Linked DNA regions of Canis lupus familiaris. Each later gene encodes a partner of the first gene's protein in a complex. Links are inferred from orthologs where the notes say so. Each region holds a gene or a part of one and is shown on either strand. Other genes may lie near its edges. The genes, in order: VDAC1 and PPIF.

The links.
Region 2: VDAC1 (region 1) and PPIF share a complex: the UniProt entries of both Homo sapiens proteins name them as parts of the mitochondrial permeability transition pore complex. The link is inferred for Canis lupus familiaris from reciprocal best matches to the Homo sapiens genes VDAC1 and PPIF.

What each region holds. Positions count from the first base shown.
Region 1 is NC_049232.1:22,225,731-22,240,379, reverse strand, and holds the start of VDAC1 (voltage-dependent anion-selective channel protein 1), read left to right. Parts: upstream 1-7,068; 5' UTR 7,069-7,089; intron 7,090-7,613; exon of another isoform or gene 7,614-7,713; intron 7,714-14,649. UniProt on the Homo sapiens protein: Non-selective voltage-gated ion channel that mediates the transport of anions and cations through the mitochondrion outer membrane and plasma membrane.
Region 2 is NC_049225.1:29,796,584-29,811,045, forward strand, and holds PPIF (peptidyl-prolyl cis-trans isomerase F, mitochondrial), read left to right. Parts: upstream 1-4,941; coding exon 4,942-5,130; exon of another isoform or gene 5,131-5,184; intron 5,185-6,199; coding exon 6,200-6,230; intron 6,231-6,701; coding exon 6,702-6,790; intron 6,791-8,495; coding exon 8,496-8,592; intron 8,593-9,055; coding exon 9,056-9,131; intron 9,132-10,296; coding exon 10,297-10,432; 3' UTR 10,433-11,355; downstream 11,356-14,462. UniProt on the Homo sapiens protein: PPIase that catalyzes the cis-trans isomerization of proline imidic peptide bonds in oligopeptides and may therefore assist protein folding. Involved in regulation of the mitochondrial permeability transition pore (mPTP).

The DNA.
Region 1 (14,649 bases):
GGAGAGGTCATATGGTGTAGTCCCCTGTGGCTGGGCAGGATCATGCTTAAACCACAGAAGGCAGAAAGGAAACAAAACTGGGTGTCTTCTCCTGCAGACTGATGATGTGTGGACTTATGAGGTTTGTGTCTGGGGCTTATAGAGAGAAGAGGTGGGGTCCTTGATATGGGGAGGCCCTTGGCTCAGTTAATGGAAAGCCAGTATCTCCCCAGGGTTGAGGAGGAACTGGGGAGGGAATGGGAAGGATAGAAGGCCTAATCTTCTTACGTAAGAGTCATGGAAGAACTTGTTTTGTAATCCCGGGGCAGCAGGGCTGCTAAGTTTAGATTTGAACCTGAAACTTCTGAACGTCGAGAGGCATCTGAGGCTGCCGCTCCCTTGGGCTGTGCTGGCAGGAAGGGCTGTGTCTCTGGCTCCATGGTCTCCAGCTGGGCAGTGGGGGGAAAACTGGGGCGTTAGAGGAAGGAGAGGCCTAACTAGTTTTAGGCAAGCTATGGCATTTCCAGAGGAAACTCTGGTGATCAGCCCAAGCCCCACAGTGTCTCCACCAGCAAGGACTATAGTAGGTCCTGGGGAGGGGGGTGAGGCATGAGAGACTGGGGTGGGGGCAATGGCAGGGACACTTTGGCTCAGTAGCCAACCTGGCTGCTGATTTGTTGCCTGCCTACCTGTCACTGTCCATATCAGCAAGAAAGTCCCTCTCATCGGCCAGGACAGAGGAGGTCCCTGTGGTGAGGCCAGTGAGGAAGCAACTACTGTCCTGGAGCTCCTGGAGGAGGCTTTGGGAATAAGAACCAGTAGGCAGTATAGTCTCAGCTAGGGCAGATGCTTGGTCTGAGAGTAGACCTTGGTCAGCCTGGAGAAACCAGGACAGTCCTCTTCCTACAGAGTGTATGCGTGTGTACCTGTGTTTGGGAATGGGAGTGGGGGGTGGCTTAGGGGAAGTGCTACGTGAGAGAGAGCAGTCTATCAAACCATGCCCCCCCCCTTTTTAAAAAAGATTTATTTATGTATTCATTCAGAGAGAGAGAGAGAGAGACAGGCAGAGACACAGGCAGAGGGAGAAGCAGGCCCCATGCAGGGAGCCCGATGTGGGACTCGATCCTGGGTCTCCAGAATCACGTCCTGGGCTGCAGGCGGCACTAAACCGCTGCACCACTGGGGCTGCCCAAACCATGCCCCTTTTGACACCAGTTGCAAGTTTCAGGGTCTCCAAGATCACCTTTATTTTTTTTTTAAATTTCTTTTTAAAAAGACTTTATTTATTTATTTATTTATTTATTTATTAATGAGAGATGGAGAGAGGCAGAGACACAGGGAGAGCAAGAAGCAAGCTCCATGCAGGGAGCCCGACATGGGACTCAATCCTGGGTCTCCAGGACCAGGCCCTGGGCCGAAGGCAGCGCCAAACTGCTGAGCACCCGGGGCCGCCCAGTCAAGATCACCTTTATATGTAATAATTTACTAAAAGGACTTGCAGAACTCACCAAGGGCCATTATGGTTACAGTGATGGATATGGAATATTGCCAACTAGGGAAGTTCTCTTGAGCCTTGGTGACCAGAGATTTACTGGGGCTCCATAGTCAATTGTCCACGTAGCTGATATCAACATCCAGTCCCTCTGGAGGTCCAGCTGCTACTGTGTGACTCAAAGCTCCCACCCTAAATCACATTGTTAGTTTATCTAGTTAGTAACTGGTCCCTCCTCTGAATCACATTGTTAGTTTATCCTGTGTGGCCAGCCCTCACCCTAAATGAAGATAGTCCTATCTGGCATGACCTCGCAAGGGCTCAGAGATTATTTTCCAGAAGCTAAGGGCAAGTTCCAGACCTCTCTTAGAATGAAGTAAGATTAAATTCCTTATTACACAGGCAGATTAAACAGCCCTCCACCCACAATAAGGCTTTGAGGCCTTTCCTCCTGGATGATCAATGACAATCCTTGGGCACGATTTCTAGCTGTCTGGCCAGGAGGACCGAGAACGGCGGTCCTTAAAGTGTGCCACCTGCATAGAAGTCAGTCACCTCCTTTTACAGTGTGTGCCACTCACCATCTATTTAGACATTTGTTTACTCACCATTTACTGAACACCTGCAATGTGAGCAGCATTTTAAGGAGGGAGATGGAGAATCAAGAGCAAAACAAGTGTGAAAGAATTTTGAAGTGTGCTACACGCTAAAAAGGAAACAGAGGGCTGACCTCAGAGTAAGAAGAGAGGGGAGAAAAGAACCTGCTTTAGATTGCATGGCAGGAAAAGGCAGCTTTTAGTGGGAAAGACGGACGGACGAGTGTGCCTGGTGTAGGGGCACATGGGCCTCAGCTGCCATTGGATGCTTCCATATGGGTTTCGGAAAGGTGCCCAGCAGCAGAAACATAACTGCTTCCTTGTGGTCGACAACAGTCTTGTCAGGACCCAAGGCTTCCTGAGCCATGTCTGGACAGGATCTCAGCCCCACACATCCCCTTTGCCTGTGCTTGCGCAGCATGTAAGCCACAGGACTCCTTGGACGAACAGTACCTGGAAACAAGCATCCCTGGGGCAGCCCTACCGTGCTGGGACCAGATACAAGGCCATTTTAACTGCATCTGACCTCACGCACATTTCAAATAATGTGTTGCCTGTTAGCAGAGGACATGGTGCAGAAATTGGGAAATTCTTCCTCAAGTCCCAGACCTTTGAGCAGTGCATGCAAGTCAAGGGCAAGAGGCATTTTTGTTTCTGTCTTCAGGCCATGCTGCATGCATCCACTTACTGGTGGGGTCTGGAAAAGAGATTCCCTGTCTCTTGCAGTAAAGGGGATCCTATCTGAATATTTGCCTGGTTTTCTTCATCTTTTGTAGGACCCAGTACATGCTGAGCAAAGGACAAAGTCCTACCCTCTTTTAGCTCAGAGGTCTCTGGTAGTATATTAGCCCAAGTCAGTTCTACCTAATACTCTCAGCCCCACCCCCACACACGCAGGCGCTTGCACACACACTGGTGTCCCTCTCCAGGGCCCTTACAAGTACCAGAGCTGGACCTGGATGAGGCTCAGGTTTGCCATACAGTAACATTAGATCTGCGTTCCAAATCACAGGTGGTTTTACATAGCAGAAATCCCTGCTTCTTTTCATAATTGTTTGATTTTAATTTGTTTCCCACACTGTGTGAAAGTTGAAACTTAGAGAAAATAAAACAAAAACAAAAACACTTAGAACCTTGCCATTTATTACGGACTGCATGTTTCTGTCCTCCCTCAAATTCAAATGTTGAAACTGTAACCCCCAACGGGAATATATTAGGAGGTGGGGCCTTTGGGAGGTAATTAAGGTTAGATGAGGTCATGAGGGTGGGGCCCCCTGATGTGAATAATGCCCTTATAAAAAGAGGAGGAGACAGGGGATCTCTCTCTCCTTCCCTTCCCCCTTCCCCTTCCCCCTTCCCCCTCCACCTTCCCCACCCTCTTCCTCTTTCTCTCTGTGCTCACACCAAGGAAAGCCATGTGAGGACATAAGCAGGAAGGGGGCTCTCACCAAGAACCCAATCATGCTGCCCACCCCCTCCCAATCTCAGACTTCTAGCCCCTAGAACTGTGAGAAATTAATGTCTGTTAACCTAGTCTTTGGTTTTCTGTTTTAGTACTCTGAGCTGACTAAGCAGTCTAACAAATCATTTATAGTATTGTCTTCCGAGGTTTGTGTATTAGTTTCCTAGGCTATTATAAAAAACTACCTGGGGGCACCTGGGTGGCTCAGTCGGTTAAGCATCTGCCTTCAGCTCAGGTCATGATCCCAGGGTCCTGGGATTGAGCCCTGCATTGGGCTCCCTGCTCAGTGGGGAGCCTGCTTCTCCTTCTGCCACTGCCTACTGCTCTGCGTGCTTGTGCTCTCTCTCTGTCAAATAAATAAAATCTTAAAAAACAAAACAACTACAATAGGCTTAGGGGCTTAAAACAATTTAGATTTAGTTCAGGTCAGAAGTTCAAAATTAGTCTCACTGGGCTAAAGTTAAGGTGTCAGCAAGGGCTGGTTCCTTCTAGAGGTTTTGAGAGGAGACTCTGTTTCCTTATCTTTTCCAGCTTCCGGGCTGTCTGCATCACGTGGCTCATGACCCTTTCTGCCACCATCAAGGTCAACAGAAAGGCATCTTCCAATCTTTCTCTCTGACCTTTGCTTCTGTTGTTACATCACCTCCCCTTGCCCCGAGTCTCTTGTCTTCCTTCATAACACCACCGTGAGTACAGAGGGCCCACCCGGACAGTCTAGGTTCACCTATCCATTTCAAGATCCTGCACATAATCATGTCTGTTAAATTACTTCTGATATGTAAGGTAACATATGTTTAGATCTGGGTGATTAGGGCATAGACATCTTTGGGAGGTCATTATTCTGTCTCTATATTTTTTATTTTTATTATTATTTTTTAAAAGATTTTATTTATTTATTCATGAGAGACACACAGAGAGAGAGGCAGAGACACAGGCAGAGGGAGAAGCAGGATCCATGCAGGGAGCCTGATGCGGGACTTGATCCTGGGACTCCAGGATCATGACCTGAGCCAAAGGCAGACCCTTAACCACTGAGCCACCCAGGCATTCCCGTCTCTACAGTTTTTAATGTCATGTTGCAGTAATACTAATACACAATTGCCTGCAATTAGCATTGTAGTAAATATTACCCCACCGGAAGTCTTTGTGACCTCCTTTCCTCAAGGCTATGAATGCTCTATAGAGGGTGTAAGCTTCAATTTGCTCAAGCTGGAAACCAGGCCGTATTCCATCCTGGGCTGCCATACATCTTTCTGAAGCTAGTATTACCCCTTCTTGGGATTGCTTTAGCATAGGTTCCCAGGAGCAGGTCAAAGGAGTAGGTTTATGATTCTTGTTATATATTGCCTAATTGCTTTCCAGGAATGCATCACTTTATACTACCTCTCCTGATCAACCTCATTTGGCTTTCAGGAAAAAAAAAAGTTCTCTCATTTTATAGTAAAGGTATTATATCTCACTAAAGAATATTTGGGAGATATAGAAAGAACTAAAGGAAAAAAATCAGTCCCATAAACTGATCTTTTAAAAAGTTTAGTTTTTTGTAAACTCTATACCCAACGTGGAGCCCAAACTTACAAACTGATGACCAGGAGTCACAAACTCCCAGAAATTGAAACACAACTTCCATTAATACTTAATATATTTCTTTCCTTTTTTTTTTTAAAAAAAGATTTTACTTATTTATTCATGAGAGACAGAGAGAGAGGCAGAGACACAGGCAGAGGGAGAAGCAGGCTCCATGCAGGAAGCCCTATGTGGGACTCCATTCTGGGACTCCAGGATCACGCCCTGGGCCAAAGGCAGGCACTAAACTGCTGAGTCACCCAGGGATCCTCCAATAAATTTCTTTCCAATATTTTTCTCTGAGTGTATGTATATATAATTTAAAAAAAATCATAGATACGATGTTGGAACTTCTTGGACCTGTTTTAGATCTGGGACACCTCATTGTTTTGGATCTGCAGGAGAAAAATTTTTATTGTGCTTATCTTGGGATGTCCCCAGGATATGGTCTGTTTCTCTTTTGTGGACTGGTTTCATTCTTAGGGTCTTTTTTAAAAATTTTATAAAGATTTTATTTATCCCCTGCAGGGAGCCTGTTGCAGGACTTGGTATCAGGACCCTGGAATCACAACCTGAGCCAAAGGCAGACTCAGTAACTGAGCCACCCAGGTGCCCCAGCGCAAGTCTTTATTTCAAAAGCCCTGAAGTCTGACGAAGATCATTGGTCCATCCTGTAGCCAGTAGGGTGCAGTGCTTTGATTGGTCCAAGAAAGGGCCTGGAGTCAGGGATGGAGTTAGCTCCATCAAAGCTTATGGAATGACTGGAGAGAGAGAAGGGTCATTCCCTCCAAAGAAACACTGTTATACCTGACCTGGGTTTATTAGCTCATAATTGCAAGGGAGGACCTGATTGGCTGCTCTTGGGTCAGGTGCCCCCCCTCCAGTCCGAACCTGGCAAGAAAGAAGGAAGGTGGGGCTGGAGGTGGCAGAGCCAAGCCTGGCATAACCTGCTGCCTGGTTCAGCTCTTCCTTTGGGGCTGTGGTGGGGAGCAGTCAACACTAGGGTCTGAGGATGCCATGTTGCACCAGATTTCTTCAGTGTTTTTGGAGTGCTTGCTTCCCATTTTAAACTTGCCCCAACCCTCTGAAATTGCAGCTGAGCAGTTAGCCCAGTTGCCCAGAGTCACACAGCCAGTGAGTCAAAGAACACTCGTGTGATTCATCTGAAAGTGACACCTGGGGGAGCCCCAGAAGGGACCCAGAGCAGGTGGGGTATGGGGAACTCTTCCCACAATCAGGGTCCTGAAAGGTGGTTTGGCAAGGAGGTGCTGGAGAGGAGGGGAACACTTAGGACCTTTGGTCCAAGCATCACACCTGGGCTTTACTGACCCAGGGTGAGATATCTGCTCCTAGCTCCTGTGACATTTCTGGAGCCCCATCTTCCCCTAGAGCTATCTGGCTCTGCCCTGCCTCCTTGAGGTCCTGTCCTCCCAAAGGCGGCTTTCCTGCGCTCATGGGTGACTCAGTGGCTTTCCTTGCCTCACCCTCTCCAGGAGTGTGCCGGGGCCTTTGTGTGTGGAGCGGGAATGACCAGGCTGGGAAGCTCTGAGCCCTCCAGTTAGCCATGGAGCAGCTCGTGGGCCTGGGGAGAGTTCCAGCATGAGCGCTCCACGCTCCAGGACCTCAGGGGGTTTAGCGTGCTTAGACCAGAGACCCCTACAGAGCCCGGTGCACTTTGCACCGCCCCCGCCCCCCCCTTCCCAACCCCATAAGCTGGTGCCCTTCTTCTCGGCATCCGGGCCCCATCGGAACACCAGTCAGTTGCCTTTTCCTCCTCCCGCTGCCCTCGGCCCAGCAGCCTGTCCTCTGGCCTCTGCCGCCGCCCCAGCCGCCTGCTCCTTTAATCGGCGCCACAGCTGGTGGTGAGCGAGCGTCGGGGTCCCGGAGCCCCTGCCTCCTCCACGGGCCCCGAGGCGCGGAGAACGAACGTTTGTTGGCGGAGGCCAAAGCCGCGCAGCCCCTCCGACCGGCCACGAGGCTCTGCGCAATTCTGGGTGACGGAGGCCGCCGGCTCGGGCGGGGCGGGGGCTCCCCGGGGGCCCGGGCTGGCTCCCGCCTCCCGTCTGCGCTCTCGGGCTCCCAGCGGGGGACGTTCTGCCGAAGCGCGGTTTGCTGTTTTCACTTCGCAAAAGCTCCGAAAATGGCCACTGGCAGTCTCGCTCCCGGGGAAAGTGCCTGCTACTCTGGAGCGCAAAAGCTCGGCGCACCCGGGTTGCTCGGCGCTTGGCCCTCGGCCGCCGCGGCCGGCACGCGTGTCCCCGCGCACGCACCCCTCGCGCGCCGCCTCGTCCCGCGCCGGGGCCCTCGCCGCCCCCCTCCGCGCGCCCGCACTCGCCCGGGGCACCGCGTCGGGGCAGGCGCCGAGGGCGCGCGGAGGGGGCGGCGGGCGCGGGCGCGGGCGCGGGCGCGGGGACCGGGCCCCGGCCTGGGCGGTGTCCGGGGCGGGCCCAGGGGCGGGGCTCGCGTGCCCGGGTGCGCAGGGTCGGGGCGGGTCCGCGCCGCCGCCGTCCGCGCCGCCCCGCCCCGCCCTCGGCCCGGCCGTGCGCTCGGTTCCTCGCGCAGCAGCCTCCGCGGTAGGTGCCGCCGAGCCCGCCGCCGAGCCCGCCGCCGCCCGCGAGGTAGGCACCTCGGCCGGGGACCCGCGCCCCGCAGGCGCCCGGGGGGGCGGGCCGGGCCGCGGGAGCTGAGCGGGAGGCGGTGGAGGGAGGAGCCGCGCGGACGGGGGGCCGAGGGCCGGGCCGGGCCGGGCCGGGCGGCGCGGGGGAGCGGAGCGGGGCGGGAGCGGGGCGGGAGCGGGGCGGGAGCGGGGCGCCCCGCGAGGGCCTGGGCGGGCAGCGGCGGGCGCAGCAGGCCTCGGCGGGCGGCCCGGGCGGGGAGCGGGCGGCCGGACGCCCCGGGGCGCCTGCGGCTGGGGCTCGAGCCTGCGGGGACCGCGGGGACCGCGGGCGGAAGGGCACGGGCCGCGCGTGAGGGCCCGGCCGGCTGCAGGTCTCGGTGACCTTTGCCGGCGGCGCCCTCTGGACCTGGGTCCCGCCCTCGCGGCCCGGCGGGGGACCGCCCGCCACCCACGCTCGCCGGGCTCGGCCCACGGACCGGCGCGGGCCATGCGGTGGCCGCGGGGATGAGCCGCTGTGATGACCGAGGCCCAGCCCGGCCCCGGCCCCGGCCCCGGCCCCCGCACCGGCCCCCGGCCCCCGGCCCCGCACGCCCTGCCCGGCCCGTGGGTGCACGCCCAGGGACGCTGGCGCCCGGCCTTGTCCGCGGGTCCTAGGCCTCTAGGGCCCGGGCGGGGGGCTAGGCCTTGGGAAGGGAGGCCCGGCGGGAGCGGGATGTGGCCTCCTTGGCCTCTGGAGCGCCTCCCGGTTTGTTTGCTCGTTCATTCACGGAGCGCGGCGGCGCCTTCACGAAACTGGCTCGGAGCCCTTGGATTTCCGGACTTGCAATCCCAGTGACTTGTCCAAGGTCACACTCAGCAGGCCTGAGTGCTCTCATCTGTAGAATAGGAGCAGTTACAGCTCTCCCTCGTTGGGTTTTTGGGAAGAATAAAATGAGTTGGTCAACACGAAGCCTTCAGGGGAAAGCTGGACAGCCTTGAGGCTTTTTGGGAGGATTTAGCCCATCCTCTGCAGACCATTTTACTCCACGTGGTGTTCTGGAAAGGGTTCAATAAACAGCCAGCTGCTGTTATTTTAAACATTATTACTAAGCACTTGTATACTGGGCACTGAGTAATTTTCAGGATAATTCATGAAAAATCCTTATAGAAGTTTATAGACAGACAAGGTCAGGCTGAAGCAGGAAGTTGCCTTTGGGTGCAGAGCTGAGGGAAGCCTAGCCTTGTTTGACCCATTCCCTTGACCAGCCTCACCTCTCTGGAGGAGATAGAGAATGGATCCCTCCTTTTCTGCATTCACTGTTGGCAAGGCCAGGGCAGACTGCCCAGGGCTTGCCTTGTTTCTCCAGCCCAGCTCTGGACTGAGTTCTACAGGGTTAGGCTTAAGCCTTATGCAGCTTTGTTTTCAGCGCCTGGGGTGGTGCCACTTGACCCACATTAGGTACTTGAGAAGGGTCTGTGGGGGCAAATGCAATCTTGCTTTTTATCCAAGAAGCAACTCACCCTTACTGAGAGAAGGATAGTTTTTACGATGGCAGCATGTGGCTTAGAGTAGGTGCTCATTAAGTATTTGTGAAATTATTGAATGGGCATATGTAGTGGATGCAGGCCCAGACCAGAGTTTCTTGATCTTGGACATCCTAAGGGACACACACTCATTCACTTCCAGCAAATACCCTTGCTTAGGAGAGAGTCACAGATATTTAAAGACTCGCAGTTGAATGTACAGCCCTGGAGCACTGAGATGCAGATCTGTTTCCTTTTTTTTTTTTTTTTTTAAGATTTTTAAATTTTATTTATTCATAGAGACAGAGAGAGAGGCAGAGACACAGGCAGAGGGAGAAGCGGGCTCCCTGCAGGGAGCCCGATGTGGGATTCGATCCTGGGTCTCCAGGATCACGACCCAGGCTGTAGGCGGTGCTAAACCACTGCGCCACCGGGGCTGCCCGCAGATCTGTTTCCTAATTTGAAATCTGCTTTAAACCTATTACCTTCGTTATGTGACTTTTTCACATCCTGTGGGAAACTTGTAGAACTGGTGTTTCTGGGCCTGCAGGGTGGTGGTGGTGGGGTGACCCCAGTGAGTCGGGATTCTCCTAAGGTTTTGGGCCTGGTGCTTTTCCTCTTTCTGATGAGTGGATTGGTAAAATGCTTGACCCTGGAGATTGTCCAGAGTAAAATTCTTGACCGTGGGGAGGGGGTAGTACTGCTCTTACTTGATTACTTAGTTTTATTTCTGTATTCTATTCTGTATGCAATAGGCAAGGGCTATCTGTAGACACAAATACAGTGGCTTAGGGGGACCATATAGTGATGAGTTGACTGTGGGCTGCTGGTCCTGCTGGGCAATAGGCAGATGTGGACAGTAACCTTCAGGCTGGTGCTAAGGAGAAACGCTGGCCCTCCACTTTTGCCTGTAAGATGTTCCCAAGGGACTGAAGTTCACTTGGTCCTTGATGGAATTTCTCATGGCCTACCCTCTTTGTTGGTGATGACTTTGTTGGCATGTGTGGTTGAGAGCCAGCTCAAATCTGCAGGCAGCCCCTCAGGGTACTCAGAGGGTCTGTGCCCTTGGGCTCCCTACAGACACTTCTGGTAGCCACTGAGGAAATGTGACCAGTGGGATCCTCCACCCGGCCTGGGCACAATCCTCCTTTTCATTGCTTGCTCTTAGTGGTGTGTGGGTGGGTATCTATATGCCCTTTACCCAGAACTGTGCTAGAAGGAGTCTCGGAGAGCAGACTGAGTTCACAACACAGCTCTGACAGGAGCCCCCGGATCTAGTACAGGTCAAGTCAATGTCTTGTTCCTTAGTTTCTCCCCTGTGTGATCATCATCATCATCAAAATAGTCCTTAATTGAGGGCCTGCTCAGCACCCTCCTGGGGGCTTAACATGTGTTCTGTAACATTGAATCCACTATCCTGCAAGCCTTGGGAGAGAGGTACTATGGTTTGTTTCTTTTTCATGGGTCAGGAGGCTTGAGCACATATTTGGGATTCAGGGTTGTCTGGCTAGTTCCAGGGCTGGCAATTTTGTTTTTGTTTTTGTTTTGTTTTGCTTTTTTTGGTAGGGCTGGCAATTTTGCACTGAGGTTGCCACACCAAGGGGCCACTGGGATGAGCTAATAGATGTGAATGCATTTTGAATGGTAGGATTTGCTGTTCAGAGGGGAAGTGTTTTCTTTCCCACTAATCGGAGTGAACATGTGTATGGCTGGGCGTAGGCTAGCTGTCAGTGGATTGCAGTGGATCACAGTCCTGTGGAGTCATCCCTCTTTGTCGCAAGGACAGTGACCCTGGACATCTGTCAGGATTGAAAGGTCAGTTTTTCCTCGGGTGAGATAGGATGCATTCTAGGACCTACTGGGAGAATATTCAGCTAAACAGTCCCTCATTATGGTCAGGTAGAGAGTGGCCTTTTGATAACTTGCATTGCAAAGGTAATTATAATAAGAAATACATAAAATGTAAATCTCTAATAAAATACTATCTGGTTGTTGCATACCTCCCAGGCACTATTCACTGTATTAAGTATTTCATGTTACCCATCTAATTCAGTTCTCACAGTGATGCTGAGATAGGTACTCTTTCCCCATATTAGAACCTGAGAAAAGTGAGACTTTTCTTGCCCTGAGCCACGTATCCAGAGAGTTGTGAACTGGTACTGGAACTCAGGGCTGCTTGACTCCCAGATCTACCTGCCCAAGCACTATCTATTTTAACCCCACTGGATCAAGCCAGGCAGTAAGGCTCCAGGTAACTTGAGTCTGAGGCCACGCCGGAGCTCTGGGTGTGCATGGGACCTAAACCTCATGGGTGGGCAGGCAGGCAGGCAGGCAGGGTGTCCCCGGGTCAGTTACATTGTCTTGAGGATTCTGATGGAAGGCTGTGCTGGTGGTGGCCTACCTCCCGGGGTGTTTGAAAATAGAAGCAATGCCTAGGAAGCCGGGCTGCCCGGTGTGAGACTGTCGTGGAGTGGGAGGGAAGGACAGCTGTGCCGGAAACACAGACTTGGTACCAGAGCACACGATGTTGGTTTTGCCAGCATCCTATAGACCTAACAAGGGGCTGCCTTTTCCCTGAGAAAATGTGGGATGGGTATGTGTGTGGCAGCTTCTGATGGTGTGGGCCCAGTATGTTGGCTTTCAGAGCTGGGCTGGCCTCCTCCTGGGGAACTTGCTTTTCCTGGTCCCCAGGGTTAGGGGGAGGTGCTTTTGTTCTAATCCCTGGCTGGTCTGATGCTCCTCCTATATGCTGGCCCAGTTCTGCTCAGACAAACCACCTCTAATGCTGTTAAGAGAAACAGCAGAACCAAAGGCTTTCTTACAATTTTCCCTTTCTAAGGGAAATCCAGGACGGTGGTGATGGTGATGGAGGTGATTGCCATGTTAGTTGGGGTCCTTGCAGGAATCAGGTATGCACTTATGTGCAGTAATAATGAAGGGATCATTTGCCAAGATGTGAGCAGAGTGTGGAGCACCTGACAAGTGATGTGCTCCACACCACCTCCTCCCCCTCCCCACAACTTTGGGTCCTTTGGAACCTGGATAGGGCCCCTTGGCAGGAGCCATGGCCTTGGAAGATCATCAGTGCCCACCTAATGCCCAGCAGGGAGGGAGCTTGGGGAACGAGTGCCCCAGCCTCACTCTTCCATCTTTTGCTGGTGTCTCCTATTGGCCAAGAAAGACACTATTGTTAGCTCCATTTTATGGAGCAAAATGAGGCACTGAGAATATAAGTTCATCAGAGGTTTGTCCAAAATTATACAGCTAGTAAAGGCTGGTGCCAGTAGAACCTCTGCCAGACTCATAGTTCCTTCTAGTAGTCACTGTATCCTGCTGCCTGGGCACCCGGATAGGCTGGGAAATGCTGTAGCAGGGTGGCTCCTGGTGTTTAGGTCCTAGCTCTGTTGTACCCTTGCCCTTGAAGATAGTGTCTGTCAACCCATTGGCTGTAATGTTGCTCAGAAGACTTATCCTGACTAAGCCTCGAGGACTTAAGGCTACCCTGCTTCCTGTGTGAACCACTTCAGTGGTGGTTAGCTCTCTGAGGGTACCAGGGCTCCTGTGTCTGGATCCTTCTGCCTCTGCAGAGAAAAGTGCTGTCCTGCCTGTTTGCTAGGCTAGGAAAGGCTGAGAGGGAGGGAAGGAGGCTTTTGAACAAGTGGCTCAGGTGATTCTCATGTACACTAAAATTAGGAAACTGTCCAACTCCTGCCTCCTGGACAGGATGTCCAGAGCTACAGGTGGTCACCTGGGAGTAGAATGTGTCCCCTATAGGCCTTGCTTGTTAACTGTGACATCTCAGTGTGGTTTGCATCTGTTGTTGGAACCAGGATAGATACTTTCCACATGGCTTTTCCTTTTGGCTCCTCTATTGCAACAGCCATTTAGAACATGACTTATTGCGTCGTGTAGGCAAACATAGCTCAATTTCAGACACGTTGGCTGGATTTTTAAATTTCCTGTCCTTAAAAAAAATTATCATTGTATCCCAACAACTTAAATAATAAAGTGGAATAAACATTGAAAATCCTATTTTTAACTCTACTACCTCCATAAACCCCCTCTTCTTTCCAGAAGCAGCTCCCAGGCAGCCACAATTTACAGATGGGCTTGTAGCATTTCAACATGCCTTTCCATCATTCACAAATGTGTGAATATACAAATGTGTTTGTAAAAGGGTTTTCCTCTAATAACATGGAATTAACACATTGTCTGTGACTTGCTTTTTTCATTTAACTACAGCAGGGCCTTGAGCAACATGGGAGTTAGAGATGCTTACCCCCAAGCAGTCGAAAATCCTTGTATAAAGATTTTATCTATTAGAGAGAGAGAGAGAGAGGGCATAAACAAGGGGGAGCAGTAGGCAGAGGGAGAGGGAGAAGCAGGCTCCCCATGTATCAGGGAGCCTGATGCAGGGGCTCAATCTCAGGACCGTGGGATCATGATCTGAGCTGAAGGCAGCCACTTAACAGACTAAGCCACTCAGGCACCTCCTTGTATAACTTTTGACCTCTCCCTCATTTAACTATGAATAGCCTATTGTTAACTTGAAGCCTTACCAATAAGATATAGTCGATTAACTTATATTTTGTATGTTGCATATATTATATATATATTCTTACAGCAAACTAAGGTAGAGAAAAAATAATTAAGAAAATCATAAGAGAAAACACATTTATAGTACTATACTGTATTTATTGAAAAAAATCCACATATAAGTAGACTTGTTCAAATCCGTGTTGTTCAAAGATAGCTGTATATCAAAGATAGCTTTCTTTGCCACAATGCATAAATCCATCCTGTTCTTTCTACCACATAGTACTCCTTAGTTTGCACGTACTTTAATTTTTATTCATTCATGGGATGCCTGGGTGGCTCAGCAGTTGAGCATCTGCCTTTGGCTCAGGTCGTGATTCCAGGGTCCTGGGATCGAGTCCCGCATTGGGCTCCTTCTAGGGAGCCTGCTTCTCCCTCTGCCTCTCTCTCTCTCTCTGTGTGTATCTTTCATTAATAAATAAATAAAATCTTAAAAAATTTTTTTTTATTCATTCATTTCCCTGTCGATGGACATTTAAGGTACTTCCAGCTTGTGTGTTAAAAGTAATGCTGCAGTGAGCATCCTCATGTACACATCTTTAGGGTGCCTTGGGTGGGTTCCTAACAGCAGAATTGCCACGAGGTTGATATATGCCCGCTTAGACACAGGCCGGCAACTGTCTCCAGAGGGGCTGTACTGTACAAAGTACTTACACTTGGCGTGAATGGGAGTGGCCATTTTTCACACCAACAGTGGATGTTTTCACTTACAGTTTTGCCAATTTGTTTGTTGAGTGAGCCTCTCAAACACAGATATGTCATTCACTCTAAAGTGGCTCCCTGAGGCCCTTAGAATAAAGTCCATGCCTTGTTCCGAGGTCAGAAGAGGCAGTGATCA
Region 2 (14,462 bases), on another chromosome or scaffold:
CGCATATCCGCAGGGCACAGTATCATTCCCTCAAGATCACCCGTTCCACTCTGGCTGTGAGTCCTCGGCTGGCTGGGCTAGGTGGGGTGCATGCACCCATCCACCAAGGCCCCCGTGTGTCCAAAGCCCTTCACCAAGTCCTGCCCCTTAACACGGACCCTTCTGTGACAGTAGCAGCTGTTTACAGATGAGGACACTGAGGTCCCAAGAAGCCAGAGACGACCTCCCTGAGCTCATCCGTACATGTGCTTTGGTCCGAGGGTTTCCTCCCGGGTCAGGCCGCGCGGACCCCTCTCATAAAGCAGCCCCGCCCCAGCCCCTGCCCAGCACAGCACCTTACTTCAGGCGTGCGCGACATGTACCACCGTCCAAGAGCATCTTCCTTCTCCTTTGCTTTTTTTTTTTTTAAATTGTTGTACCCTCTCTTTTCCCTGTGAAAACATGCGTTTACTTTTCTGTCCAATGACCCCCGTGTCTCTAAGCCCTAGAGGAGTGGCAGGTGCACAGCAGGGTGCAGAGCAAAGCTGTGGAGTGAATGCGTGAAGTGGGGGGCTGGGTTTCCAGCAGACTTCTGCTGTCTCAAAACCCACACTTGGAGGCCCCGGGGCTGGCGGACAGCCGCCCCTTCCCCGGAGCCTGCCTCCGCGAGGCTACCCACCCTCTCCCTTTGGGGGCAGCTTCTCAGGAAGGCCTCCTCAGCCCCCAGGGCCACCCAGCTCACGCGGCCTGCAGATGTATTCAGCAAGTGAGCTCCCACCCTCCTTGCCCCGTAACCCGCAGGGGAGCTGGGGCTGGGTCGGCTCCCAGGGGCCCACAGCACCTACACACGCCACCCCGCGAGCCCGGCTCTGGAAAGGGGAGTCTCCCCAGCCCTTCCTCTTGGGCCTCCCTCTGGTCACTGTCTACCCCCCCACAACCACCAGCACCCTGGCCTGGAGGGAAACCTCCTTGCCCGCCCCCCTCCACTTCCCATCATGCTCTGCCACGGCGTGCTGGGGAACTGAGCGGCCCAGTGGTTCCCGGAAGCCCAGAGAGGCTGCTGGCTTCCAGCTGCTCCCTGGAGGCTGGGAATGCCCGGGGGAGGACCCAGAGTGCAGCCCTCCCCGTGGCCTGCTGGCAGGGTCCGACTCGCTTCCTGAGCTCTCAGCCAAGGCCTCCTCTCCCGGGCTCCCCGTCAGCCCCCATGACTGGTACCATCCTGGACCCCAGGCCCCCCAGTGGAACCAAGAGACATGAAAGCCCAGGCCTCCTTCTACCTACAGCACACTGTGCAGTGACTGATACTGGCAATGATGGCTCATGGAGACCGCCCCCCTTACCCACATCAGGGCCAATTCCCTCCCAGCCCCTCCTGGAAGGGTCTCCAGGGGCACCGTAATTGCATCCCTCACGACAGCCACCATATGCACCCCTGCCACGCACCCTGGCTGCCTGGGAGAGGCCTACTCAGTGGCACCCAAAACAGCCTGTCCCAGACTCCATCCTGTATCCCCAGGGCAAAGCTCAGGCCCGACACGTAACAGGTTCTCTGAAAACATGTCTGCTGAGCGAGGCGAGTCTTGCAGAAAGGGTCCTGGCAATGGTGAAGAGAGGGCTTCGTCCCCAGTCCTGGTACTTCCAGGCTGTGTGACCACGGGCAAGTCCCTGTCCCTCTCTGGGCTTCAGTTCTCTCATCCAGATAGCGGAGATCAGAACTTGCAAATTACTGGCCCAGAGGTACCATCTGCGTTGTGGATATGGTGTTTGTGGCTCGTTCAGTGTTTAATTTTATTTTAAAATTCCCAATGTTTAAAAATTGGGAGATTCCCATAAAACCTGAGGTTTTCAGCTTTTATTGAAAAAGGAGAAGATCTTGGCTCTACTGGGTCCCTAGTCTCACACACACAGTTGGCTGGCCGGGGCAGCAGCGGCCCCTTTACCTGGGGTGTGGACACAGCGCAGTGCCCCCTCACTCCCTAGACCTCGCCCAGTATGCTTCACTTGTGTGTGTCACTGCCCAGCCCCCGCAGGCATCCGAATTTGTCAGCCCTGAATGTCAGCATCACCTGTCTGTTCTTTGGCTCTATGACACCTAAAGGAATCCTACGGGATCCCCAGGTGACAAAAACCATTAACACCCTGGATGAGAAGCCACTTCAGCTGAGTGGAGAGAAACTGCTGTTTCTGAGGATGACACAGAGTCTATAAATAGCCTCGGAGCCAGGTGAGTACGGACACCTGCCCAGTCTCACCTGGGCCGGGAGTCCTGGAGGGCGGGGCATGCTTCCGTTCATGGCTCAGCCCAGGGAATGTCCCTCTTCCTGATGCCGCTGAGGACAGTACAGGTAGGGATGACTTCACAGTTCAGCCTGTGGAGAAGGTGGAACTTTTCTCTGGCTTGGGCAGGAAGCAGTGATGACATTTGATTTTCCAAACAGGGTAGGAGTAACACGAGTGAATGAGGCCAGTTCCCAGTCTGGGGTCCTGGGGATGGGGCCACTGCACCATCAGTGGCTCCTCTGGGCTACCCAACAACGTTAGACCTCAGCCCTGCCTCCAGGACCCCCCTGTGATTGCCCCCTACTCACACCCCAGCCTTTCAGCTTATGGTCAATATTGCATCACAGCCCTTCCTTGAAGGTAGCCCAGGCTGGCTCTGGCTCACTCCCCCTCTGGAAGCTCCTCTCCATCTTTGAGTCTCTGCCCCTCAAATGTGGTTGTCTCCAGGCTGATCCCCCAGGCGGAAGCCACCTGCTCTGTCCCTTGAGTTCCACAGTCTTCTCTGGCTAACTCCTCAGCTTCTCTCCTACTGCTTGTCCCTCTTAGTCCCGCCACCCCATTTACCAGCCCCATGATGGCAGCAAGAAGAGTCTAGTCTAAGCAAGGACTCAGACAGAGTCCTCCCCGTTCCAACACTCCAGCCCTGGGCAAGTCACCCTCCCATCTCTTAGGGCTTTCCTTCCCCATCTATGAAATGGAACTGCCTCCCATGCTATGGTGGGAAGCAGACAAAAAAAGGGCTGGGCAGGGGCTCTGAGAATGAAAAGGATTGAGTGAACGATGGCACTCAACCATCCTGGGTTAGGGCTGCTCATGCTTCCCTGGGGTGGGGGATAAGTGGAGGCCCTCCAGGAGCAGGCTTGGAGGACAACGGGGTAGCACTAATCCACCAGCATAGCTACGGACTGTGTGAGCTGAGGACCTGGAATGGACACTGGGGTGAGTCCTCTCTTCGTCTTTCAAATCTATAGTATGTAGTGATACAGTAGGGATCTGGGAGATTGCTGAGGGCCTGGATGGGGCACGGAACAAGCCGGCTTCCCACTCAGGCCTGTCCTACTTTAGGGCACGATAGTCATGAGAAAGGAGGAGCCATTCCCCAGGACCGAGTGAGGCTTCATCCTGGGCTGGAACCTGGGAAGCCTCCTGGCTCCAGGATGCAGCTGGAGCATCACTGAGTGACCAGGGTCCTCTTGGATCAGGATTAGGGAAAGGGACTGTAAACTTCTAGAAAAGGGCCAAGCCAAAACTCTCATGAGCCTAGAACCTCATGAATTTCCTTGGGCCAGTATTTTGCCATCTGACTCCTTCCCAGGAGCTGACTCAGGTCCCAGCTCAAGCCCACCTGACTCCAAGGTCCAGCCTCCACCCTCTTCTTGGGCCCCTTGGACCTCGGAGCCCCGGCAGCTGAGACCCACTGCTATCTGAGCCCTAAAGCTGAAGTAAAGATGGTCTAGACCCTGTCTATTGCTGATGCACAGTACCTAACAGTTGACACACTCCTCTCTCTCTTGTTCATTTTACCCTGGAAACAAGCAGGGTCAGGATTACCATTATATCCTTATTCTCCAGAGGGGAAACTGAGTCTCAGAGAGGTCTGAGAAGACTGGCACAGGCTGGCAGGGGAAGATCCAGGCTGCTCCTGGCCCTGGGCCATGCCTTCCTCAGTATGGGTCCTTGTTTCCCATTTGGAGCGTTCAGGTTTGCCAAGATGCTCTCCTGGGGCCCCTATTATTTACTCACTATGGGCCTCCCACACCTACCAGGTTTCTATGAAGCCCCCCTCAACCTGTGGGATAAATCCTCTTCACCACGGTCCTCAGTTCCCCTTCTCTTCCTGCCTTGCCTTTTCACTTTTCCTTGCATTGCCTATGAACTGGGCCCTGTGCTGTTACCTGCAGGTGCGTTCTTGGGGTGACAGGGGTGGGAGGGAAGCCAGCAGCTGCCAGCTGACCCAGTTGCTGGGGACCAGGCCTGTCTATGGGATTGGGGAAGGGGCATCAGACTCACCCCTGGTGGAGGGCTGGGGCCTGGCCAGAGCCTGCTGGGCACCTGCTGAGTTCCAGCGATGTGGGAAGAGGATGTGGTGTCTAGAGGCATCCGGGGACAGGGCCAGACCAGGACTAGGAGGCCTGTGGTCGCCAGGGGAGGCGTCACTCTAATCCCCCTCATCTCCTCCTCCTTTGTCTCTCACTCACGTCTCTCTTGGTCTCTCTGTCTGCAGGGCCTAAGGGGGGACAGGAGGCCTATACGGAGGGCTCAAATGTAGATTTTTGTTATATTCAAATAAAAACATATGGCTGCTCATATTTTGGAGCTGACCGCGTTTTAGCACAGTTTCCCGCTTTCTTTTTTTTTTTTGTTTTAGTGTGTCGGGGCCCTTGCAGAGTGGAACCGGCCCCCTTTTGCCAGGTCGTGCGTGTCCCCGCTGTCCCAGGCCTTGGGGGTTGCCCCAGCCGCCGGGCTGCGCTGCCCGCCGGGGCCGCCAGGGGTCGCCCGCGGCCAGGCCCGGGGGGGGCGGGGGCGGGGCCTGGGGCGGGGGCGGGGCCTCGGGGCCGGCCCGGCCCTTAAAGCGGCGGCGCGCGGCGGGGCTGCGTCTGCCTCCCGGTCGCGCGTGTCCGCGGCCGCCGTGCCCTCGGTGCCCTCGGTGCCCTCCGTGCCCTCCGTGCGACCCCGGCCGCGATGCTGGCGCTCCGCCGCGGCCCCCGCCTGCTCGGCCTGCTCCGGGGCCCGCGCGCCGCCCCGCCGCGCCTCCCCGCCGCCCGGGCCTGCAGCGGCGGCGCCCGCGACCCGCCGTCGTCCTCGGGGAACCCGCTCGTGTACCTGGACGTGGGCGCCGACGGCCTGCCCCTCGGCCGCGTGGTGCTGGAGGTGAGCGCCCTGCCTGCCCCGGGCCGCGCCGGCCGCCCCGGCGACCTCGCCCCCGCCCCGCCCCCGCCGCGGGCCTGTGTCCCCGGCCCTGGGCGGCCTCCGAGGGGGGTCGCGGGTCTCGGCACCGCGGGGCGGGGCGGGCCCGGGGCGCGGACGAGCTCAAGGTCAGGTCGGGCAGGTCGCCGGCGGGGAGAGCCCGGCCTGCAGGCGAGCGGCGGGGCCGGGGGCACGTCCTGACCGCGGGTTGGCCCGGGCCGCACCCCGACCCAGGCTGGGGGCTCGGGGTGCCCCCGCGGGCGGGAGGGCGCTCACGTGGCGGCCCTGGCGGAACCCGGAGCCCGCCCCGCCCCCTCGGTGGGACCCGCCCGCCTGCGGGCACCGGGGAGGGGCGGGGGAGGGGGGGGGAGGGGGGAGGGGGAGCGGGCAGGAGCTGGGAGGCCGCCCCGGAGGGCCCCCCTGCCCTTCACCCCAGCCCCCCCCTCCGGCTCCCGACTCACAAGGTAAGACCCAGAGCGGAGGGCGGGAAGCGCAGGTGTGGCCCTCAAGGAGCTCCCTTTTGAACCGAGACGCCCCCGTCGGGCTCAGCGTCCTCTTCTGGAGGATGGAGACGAGACCACCCTCCTTGCTCCCGTCTGTTTGAGCGGTTCCCGCCTGGGTTCTGGAAGCTGGGAGGCGAGAGCCGGGCTTACCCCCCCCACACTCCCCTGCCTCTCTCTAAGCCTGTTTCGCTTCAAGGCCTTGGGGCGCTTGGACTGGCTCCTGGGGGGGCCAGAGCCCCCACCCCCTCCCGGTGTGCTGGGGGCCCAGCTGCAGAGCTGCACCAGTTCCATCCCCTGGGAGCAGGCCCCCTGGGAGCAGGCCGGGGTGGCACTGTCTTCTCTAGCCATAGATAAGGAACCCGCGGCTGCCTCCTCCCAGCCTGGGTGCAGGAAATGACCGGCCAGAGGAAGGCTGGGAGCGCCGCCCATGGAAGGGGCTCTTGGGCCACTGGGATTGGGTGGTGAGGAGGTTCCTCCGTCACCTGCCTCCACACTGACCACCTATTCGTGTCCCTGGTCTCTCCCCACAGCTGAAGGCCGATGTCGTCCCAAAGACGGCAGGTAAGACGGGGTTTGGGGCCCTTCTGAGTCTGGTCTAGATGGAAGAGAGGGGCCAGGTGGGGAGGATGGCGAGAGGAGTCGGGCACAGAGACCCAGCACCAGATGGGCGTTCCAGAGAACGTGAAGCTCGGCCGCTGGGTACCCGGGCAGCTCTCTGCGCCCCTCTGCCCTGCAGTCCAAAACAGCCTTGCAACTGGTAGAAACACCTGTAAATTTCCATGGGGACATCTTCCTCCCTCCCGGTGCCCAATGGGGCAGGGTGGTGGCTCCGTGGCCCGGGGACTCCATGCCGGGAGCATGTGCTTGGACACCAGGACACTGAGCTTTGAGAACATGACTTGTCCCGGGTCGCCCAGCCAGAGCAGGCCCCGGGGAGCGGGAGTGGGGGTGGGAGGGGGAAGGGGTGCTGGCTAGAAGGAGGCGCGCCCCTCAGCCTGGCCCTGCTGACCTGCCTCTTCCTTCAACCCTCAGAGAACTTCAGAGCCCTGTGTACCGGGGAGAAGGGCTTCGGCTACAAAGGTTCTAGCTTCCACAGAGTGATTCCGTCCTTCATGTGCCAGGTACTGCGGCCCTGTCTGCCTCGGTGCCTCCTCTGTGAAGTGGGGGGTGATGATGGCGGGGACGACCTTGTATGGTGGTTGTGAGGCCACCTGGGTGCGAGGAGATGCCGGATGGACGGGGCGGGTGACTGTCTGGGCCTGTCTTCTCGCCCAGAGTTGGTGGAGCTCATGTGGGCGGCCGTAGCTTCCCTGCCCTGGCAGTTGAGCGACAGGATGGCCTGGCTGGCGGAGCTGTGGGGGGCGAGCGGACACGGAGGCCCCGATGTGCATGGGGACGGGTGGGGAGGGGGGGGACGGTCAGGCTTTGGAGGACCACATCCCCCATGTGTCCCACTGAGTGCTTGGCGTGCTTGGAGTGGAAGAGGGGGAGGAGGAGGGAGGGAGAGAGACAGCACTGACAAGAACACACAGGTCTGGACCCGGAACTTCGACACCAGGGCCTCTTTCTCAGTTACTTGAATGTTCTTCAGTCACGTGTGCTGCATGTTTTTAAAAAACACCAGTATCGCTGTGTCGGAAGTTTTGGGATAGAAGTGGACAGCGAGAACTTCCCGAGGGTCAGGACCCCGCTGACAGGGCTTGGTGTCTTGAGGCCAGCAGACTGTAGAGGCAGGGCATGAGTGTCATGACCTCTGTGAGACCCGCCAGCCCAGAATGTTCTCTCCCCCATTCCCTCCACTCAGGCCTAGGGCCGCCCTCATATTGTGAGGGGCGGTGGGCTGGGGCTCGGCCTGGGCCTGCTGATGGGGCGAATGAGGTGAACACAGGGGCGGGAGGGGAGGTTGTGGCAACGTGGACAGGTCTGGCCAAGCCTGTGGCTCTCTGCTGCCCCCAGCTCTGCCCAAGGGGCTGTCCTGAGCCAGGTTAGGGTCTTCCTCTGAATAGCAGCAGGCGGGCCAGGGCGCTTCCCAGGCTGGCAGGCTCCCTGGGGCATGAACTGGTCCCAGGAGGCCCAGGGCAGGGTTTTGAATCAGGCGCACCTGGGGACAGCCTGCTGGCATTTAGGTCTGGCTGGTCAGGTCACTCCTGTCACCCGAGGAGCACAGCTCAGGAACACAGCCATGAGGCCTTGGCCAGGGGCTGGGGCTGGGGCGCCTCTGGCCACAGCTTCCTGTGAAGCCTCAGGCTGGAGTGAGGAAGGATCCCAGGCCTGGGCAGGTGGGGGGGTAGAGTGGGGGCAGATGGATACGCCATCCTGGGTCTGCAAGGTATAGGGAGGCCACCTGGCTGGTGAGGAAGGAGATGCCGGGCAGGCAGTGGGGCTCAGCCTAGGGAACTGGCTCTCTGGCAGCTGCCGCTCCCCCCCACAGAGCAGCCTTGGGAACAGGGACCCCTGGCCACCTCCCTGTCTCCCCTCCAAGAGTTGCAGGTAGAAAATTCTAGGTCACTACCTATGAATCTTCTCAGAATGGCCATTAGATCCTTTAAGAATCATTTAAAAACTTGCCTGGATAAAAAAAAAGTGAATCGTTTGGAAGGTAGGGAAGTTATTCATGGCCAAAAATATTTAAGCTTTTATTTTTTCTTACTTTCTTTGTTTTTTAATTAGTCCGTACATCCCTGGATGTTTTTTGACCCCCTGGCGTGCAGGGCTGCCGGCTGGGTGGGCCCTGGGTGGGTTGGGGGGCTCCCTCCCAGCGCCGGGGCAGCACCCCCGCGGCCAGCTCAGGGTGGCAGCTGCTCAGGAGGTGCTCTGTGCTCGCAGGCGGGCGACTTCACCAACCACAATGGCACCGGGGGAAAGTCCATCTATGGAAGCCGCTTTCCTGATGAGAACTTCACGCTGAAGCACGTGGGGCCAGGTGAGCGAGCCTGCGGTTCCCCGGTCCGGACGCCCTGAGCTCTGGGCCGGCGTTTGCAGCCTGGTGACTGATTTCCCAGAACCTGGTGATGCCCCTTCCCTCCTTCTACCCTCCTGGTCGGGGTGTTGGTTCTCCTGGAGCTTTTTCATGCCAAAATAGAAATAAGCCTTCCTTGGAGAAACTGCTAGAGAACGCCTTTGGGCAAAAGCCAGTGTCGGTTCACATTTAAGACCCAAGGTGCAGTTCGCAGAAACGTGGAGGTCGGGGTGCACAAGTCCCTCCCATTCCAGTCTCCACCATGGATCACGGGACGGGCCCTGGGGAGCTGTCGAGCGCTGGGCCCTGCTTGTCCTCGCCAGGCTCCAGGACCTCAGACCCAGCCGTCCCTGCCGTGGCGTGAATGACTTCCCAGGCGGGAGGTGCCTCCTGGTGCAGCGTGGCTCACTCCTGCTTGTTTTTGCAGGTGTCCTGTCCATGGCAAATGCAGGCCCCAACACCAACGGCTCCCAGTTCTTCATCTGCACCGTGAAGACGGACTGGTGAGTCCCCACGCCTGACTCCAGGCCCTCTGGGAAGGAGGAGGATGCAGCTGGAAGAGGGTTGATGTGCTTCCGGGGGAAGGTGGTGTGAGACCGGACCGTGCTCTGGGACAGAGGCTCTCACCCGGGCTATGTGTCCGTCCGTATGGGAGAAAGACGAAGTGCATAAAAGGAATGAGGGAGGATTCGGGTCGTTCTTAGAACCGTGTCTTTGTTAGGTCTCTGCTGCTGCGTGTGCACATGCACACACCATGGGCTTTTACCAAATACATCTGGGACAGGCTGCAGAGCTTCTCAGGCCTCAGGGTGGCCTGTGGTGAAAGCCTGTTTGCTTGCTTTAACATGTTGTTCTGGCCTTGAGCTTGGAGCACACCTCTGGCCCACACGCCTGTGGATTTTAGGGATGTCTTCCCTGGCACATTTCCTGTTACCTCGTAAGTTCGTCTGTCCAAAGTCCCCTGTGTCCTAACCCTGAGGCACATGGGGTTGAGGGGACAATAGTTGACCAAGAGATAAGACTTATTAAAGTCCATTTCCTAGGACTCCAGGGAGACCTGAGTGGCAGATGGATACTAGCTGTCGCTGACCCCAAGCCAAGAGGGACACGGGTGTCAGGGCAGGTCGTTGCTGGCTCTGGGCTCCTTCTGTGGAACCCCTGATAGATCCTGCGGTTCTGCCCTTGGCTGGATCCAGAGTTGGCCTTGCTGGCACCAGACTAGACTGCTTTTGGGTTCTTGGAACTCTCTCAGATTGGGACTTGTGATCTTGGCTCTCACCTTGCCACGCATGACCACGAAGATGGTTCCATTTACACGCACCTCTTGTTTCTTGAGAGTAGCTTGATACCCTGTGATCTCCGTGGGCAGAACAAGAATAATTCACTTTTCATAGATGAGGTTACCAGGATCCAGGTTAAGCGGCCCAGGGCAAGGTCACACGGCATGTGAGACAGAATGTGCCCTGGAAGGGAGGGATCCCCTGGTGCGTTTTTGGGGAGTTCAGCGAAGCTTGATGCCGGAGCTTTGGGGGTGGGTCCAGATTTTCAGTGTGAGTCCCTGTCAGAGTTGCTAAATAGCTAAATTGATGAATAGTTCCATGACTGAGGGACCATGATGACGTTGGCGGACACTGCACTACTCTTATTCGTACTTGACTCCCCTCACAGGTTGGATGGCAAGCATGTTGTGTTTGGCCACGTCAAAGAGGGCATGGACGTAGTGAAGAAAATAGAATCTTTCGGTTCCCGGAGTGGGAAGACGTCCAAGAAGATCATTATCACAGACTGTGGCCAACTGAGCTAACCTGCCCCGGCCAGGGCGCAAGGGTGGTTGCAGCTGCACTGGTGTTGACTCACCTGGACGGCCGCCTTGGGCCCCAGCAAAGGTGCCCCGTCAAGTCGCCTGTGCTCGTTCTACCATCAGTGTGTCTTTGAGGAAGGCCTCTCTAGGATGTCACATCTCCACAGGGCCCAGCACACTGCCTCCCATGTCCACCCTTCCTCACACCCCATTTCAAGACCCTGGTCGTGAACACGATGTCACCGTTCCTCATCAGGCCTTCTCCGTGACCCCCCAGCCCAAGTTCACCTGTGCCTCTCATCAGGCCTTCTCTGTGACCCCCCAGCCCAAGTACACCTGTGCCTTGGATGTGGAAGCAGCGATGGCTTAGCTTTAGGGACGGGTTCCTGCCTTTTCCTCGGCCAGGGCCAGGAAAGCCAGCCGCTGTAAACAGGCCATTATAGCTGTTCAGTGGTACCTTCGAATCAGAATAATTTAATGCACGAGGTTGCCCCGAGATGAAGCTGTGACATTAACTACCCTGTGCCGTCATATGACCTCAGTTGGCGGCAGAAGCCATGGGAACCCAGAGCTTGGCCTTCGGAACATTATCGGGGCTTTTGTGAAGGGTCCTTGGCCCTGGCATTTTCTCCCGGCCTCTGTGAATCCCACTGGTTTGCTGCTGTGGTTTTTGAGGAGAGTCTGGGGGGAGGGAGGAGAGAAGCAGACAAACCTGGGAATAAACCCACTGCAAGCTGTGCCTAGTTGGTGAAGTGGTGAAAAATGGAAATGGCCCACACATGCCGGGGGCTCTGGAGGAAAGTAATTGTGTATTTTCGGAAGGGCTTTGATTTATCTGTGTTTAATGTACTGATTATGTATATAATTCACTTTTGGGACATTTGTGTTCACTTGAAATGTGAAAATAAATCCTATTTTCTATAGAAGACTGTGTGGTGTCTGGTGGTCTTAGGAAGCAGTGTTTATAACTCCAGGATTTGGAGCCAACTTTTATTTATTTATTTTTAAGATTTTATTTATTTATTCGTGAGAGACACAGAGAAAGAGAGAGAGGGACACAGGCAGAGGGAGAAGCAGGTTCCCTGCAGGGAACCTGACGGTGGGACTCGATCCAGAGTCTCCAGGATCACGCTCTGGGCTGAAGGCGGCGCTAAACCGCTGAGCCACCCGGGCTGCCCTGGAGCCAACTTTTACTGGCGTTACCACACATGGGTCCGGGGCTCTGCTGAGGGTTTTTACCCGGATGATCTCACGTAATCAGTCCAACCAAGGATGTACTGTTGTCATCCTCATAGACGAGATGGGCCCAGACAAAGGATCTTAGCACCCACAGCCTGTCAGTGAGCACTGGCTCCCCACCCCATCCCCCGAATCACAGCTCCCTGTCCTAGTGACCCCGAGTCTGTTTTGGGGGCTGGCTCACAGAGTGGGGAGAGGCAGATGCGATCCATGTAAAGGGCACAGTGTGGGGCCTGGCTCGTCTTTTTAATATACACTCCGGAGTCCTAGGGCTGATGAGATCTCCCATGTGTCAGAGTCTTAGACAAGCATCTGTGATCATCTCCAGTTAGGTGTGGACTTGACTCTCCTAGATTTGCCACTCACATTGGGGATTCTAGATGATTCTGAGTCAACAGGGAAGGCAGATTGGAGTGGGAGAGCGGGATTCAGAACTGAAATGGCCAGAGATGGCACAGTTTGAATAATAGAATAATCACATTCTTTTTTTTTTTAATAATCACATTCTATTCACAATACGAATGGAATTATTTCACCTTGGGATTCCCAGAGTCTAATGGTGTGTGCTGCCTGTCATTCTGAGGTCACAGTGGCCACAGTTGGGTCATTTGGAGGCTTTCTATGATGTCAGTCTCCAGAGTTTAGCTGCATGGGCAGGGAGCTCAGCTGGCTTAACAGTTTTCTTAAGAAAGTCTTAAGAGATTATGCCTGGGTGCCTCAGCGGTTGAGTGTCTGCGCTTGGCCCAGGGCGTGATCCTGGAGTCCTGGGATCGAATCCCACATCAGGCTCCCTATAGGGAGCCTGCTTTTCCCTCTGCCTGTGTCTCTGCCTCTCTCTCTCTCTGTCTCTCATGAATAAATAAATAAAATCTTAAAAATTCTTAAGAGCCGTAGGGGTTCTCAGAACAAGGGGGAGACAAGGAACATGGGCCCCCAACCCCTATCTTCAATCAGATACCCTCTTTTTTCTTGTTGGGGCTCTATAAGGGGTCTCATGTGAAGAATGGGATCTTGAGCCCAACGGTAATCATGATAATGGTGATAATAATTGGTGATTACTCATCCAGTCCAGTGTTTTACAGATGGGTGAACTAAGGCCCCGAGTGGGGTCACGATGCCCCAGGTGACCCTGTGAGTTAGTTGGCAGAGCAGAGGCTAGAACTCGGATGCACCGATCCAGAGGGCTCCTGGTCAGGGGTCTCTCCCAGTGCACGGGCCCCTTGGTCCTCAGACCCCCACATCCAGAGCTCTTGTGATTGCTGAGGTCAAAGCCACAACTGCGTCTCTAGAGCTTTCTCCTGACCTCTGAGGACTCTCGGGAAGCAGCGGTGCTGTTAACAAGTGTGAGGGGCAGTCCCTTGAGTTGGGACCTGCTGGCCCGTGGTGATTTCTGGCAAGTCTCAGGGTCTCAGCGCCTGGGGGGCTTGCATTGACTTCACAGAGCCATTCTCTTTCCGTGAGAGGGGGTGAGTGTGTGTGTGTGTGTGTGTGTGTGTGTGTGTGCCTCCATCCAGAGGAGTGTGGTGGGAGGCAGGAGACAGGAATGCAAGAATTGTCTAAAAACAGGGTTTCCTGAAGATGAGGCCACTCGCTCCACTGGCCAGCTCCCTTCTAAGCACCCAGCTCAAGGGCCTGGGCCTGATCTTACTGGATAAAGCGGGAGCCTGAGATGCAGATAAGAGGGTGACTTGCTGGCACGTGGCACCTGGTGCCTGAATGAAGGCGTGAGTCATCCACGTGCTCTCAGATGTAGTCATGTGACACATGGAAGCACAATGTGTTTAAATGTCTGGAATATCATTTTCCTGAGACAACACATGATAAACTTTTCAAAATGACTTCACCGAGTATGACATGCATATAACAAAAGTCATGCATTTTAAGTGTACCCCTCGGTCACTTCTGATAAATTCACACACCAAGTGAAGTTATACAATATTCCCATCTCTCCAGAAAGCCACCCCCATGTGCCTTCCCAGGCCACCACCACTGCATCCTGTCACTGTAGATGACTCTTGCCTGTTCTAGGACTTGGTATATGTGGAGTCATGCAAGATTTGCTTGCTGTGCCTGACTCCTTTCATGGAGCATGTGTGAGAACAGAGGAGAATTTAACCCCCTTCTGGGCTCTAGCAGGTTGCTCCATGAAAAGGAATGTCTGTAAATGTTTCCCAGGTCCGATGAGGCCGGAAGCAATGCTTCTAGGAATCCTGGGGTGCCGGCAAAGCATGCAGAGTCCTGGGCCATACCTGAGACCTATTGGATATAAAACTCTGTGGGGAGGATCTAGGAATCTGAATTTTAAAATAGTAATTCTGAAGGTTGAGAATTTGAGCATAGGCCTGCAGGAGCGAGGGGGCAAGACTCAAAAGGAAACCACTAGACCACTAGCGTCATTGGTTACTTCTGGAACGCTTTTTGGTGGAAGCTCTGGGAATCTGGAGCAAGCCCTCTACCTATAAAGAGCTCTTGGATGGTGACGGGGAGCGGCCAGTTCAGTCCAAGCTTTGTGGGCTGTTGCTCTTGCACAGCGCTGGCGAACGTGGCTTCCCAATGCCTCAGCTTGGTGGGGAGGTGCCTTTGAGGGGAGGACCTCTGGGTGGTGGCCTCAGCTTTTCCTTCATCATCAGGAGAAGGTCTGGCTTGAGTGGGTCCAGACTGGATAGCATTTCTCAGTGAGGGGTTTCTGGGAGCCAGAAGTCAGCGGGTGTCCAGGGCCACGGGAACAGAGTGGGTGGAGAGAGTCCTGGTGCTACTGAGCCTCCCAGAGCAGTCTCAGCCTTAAGAGGCTTTC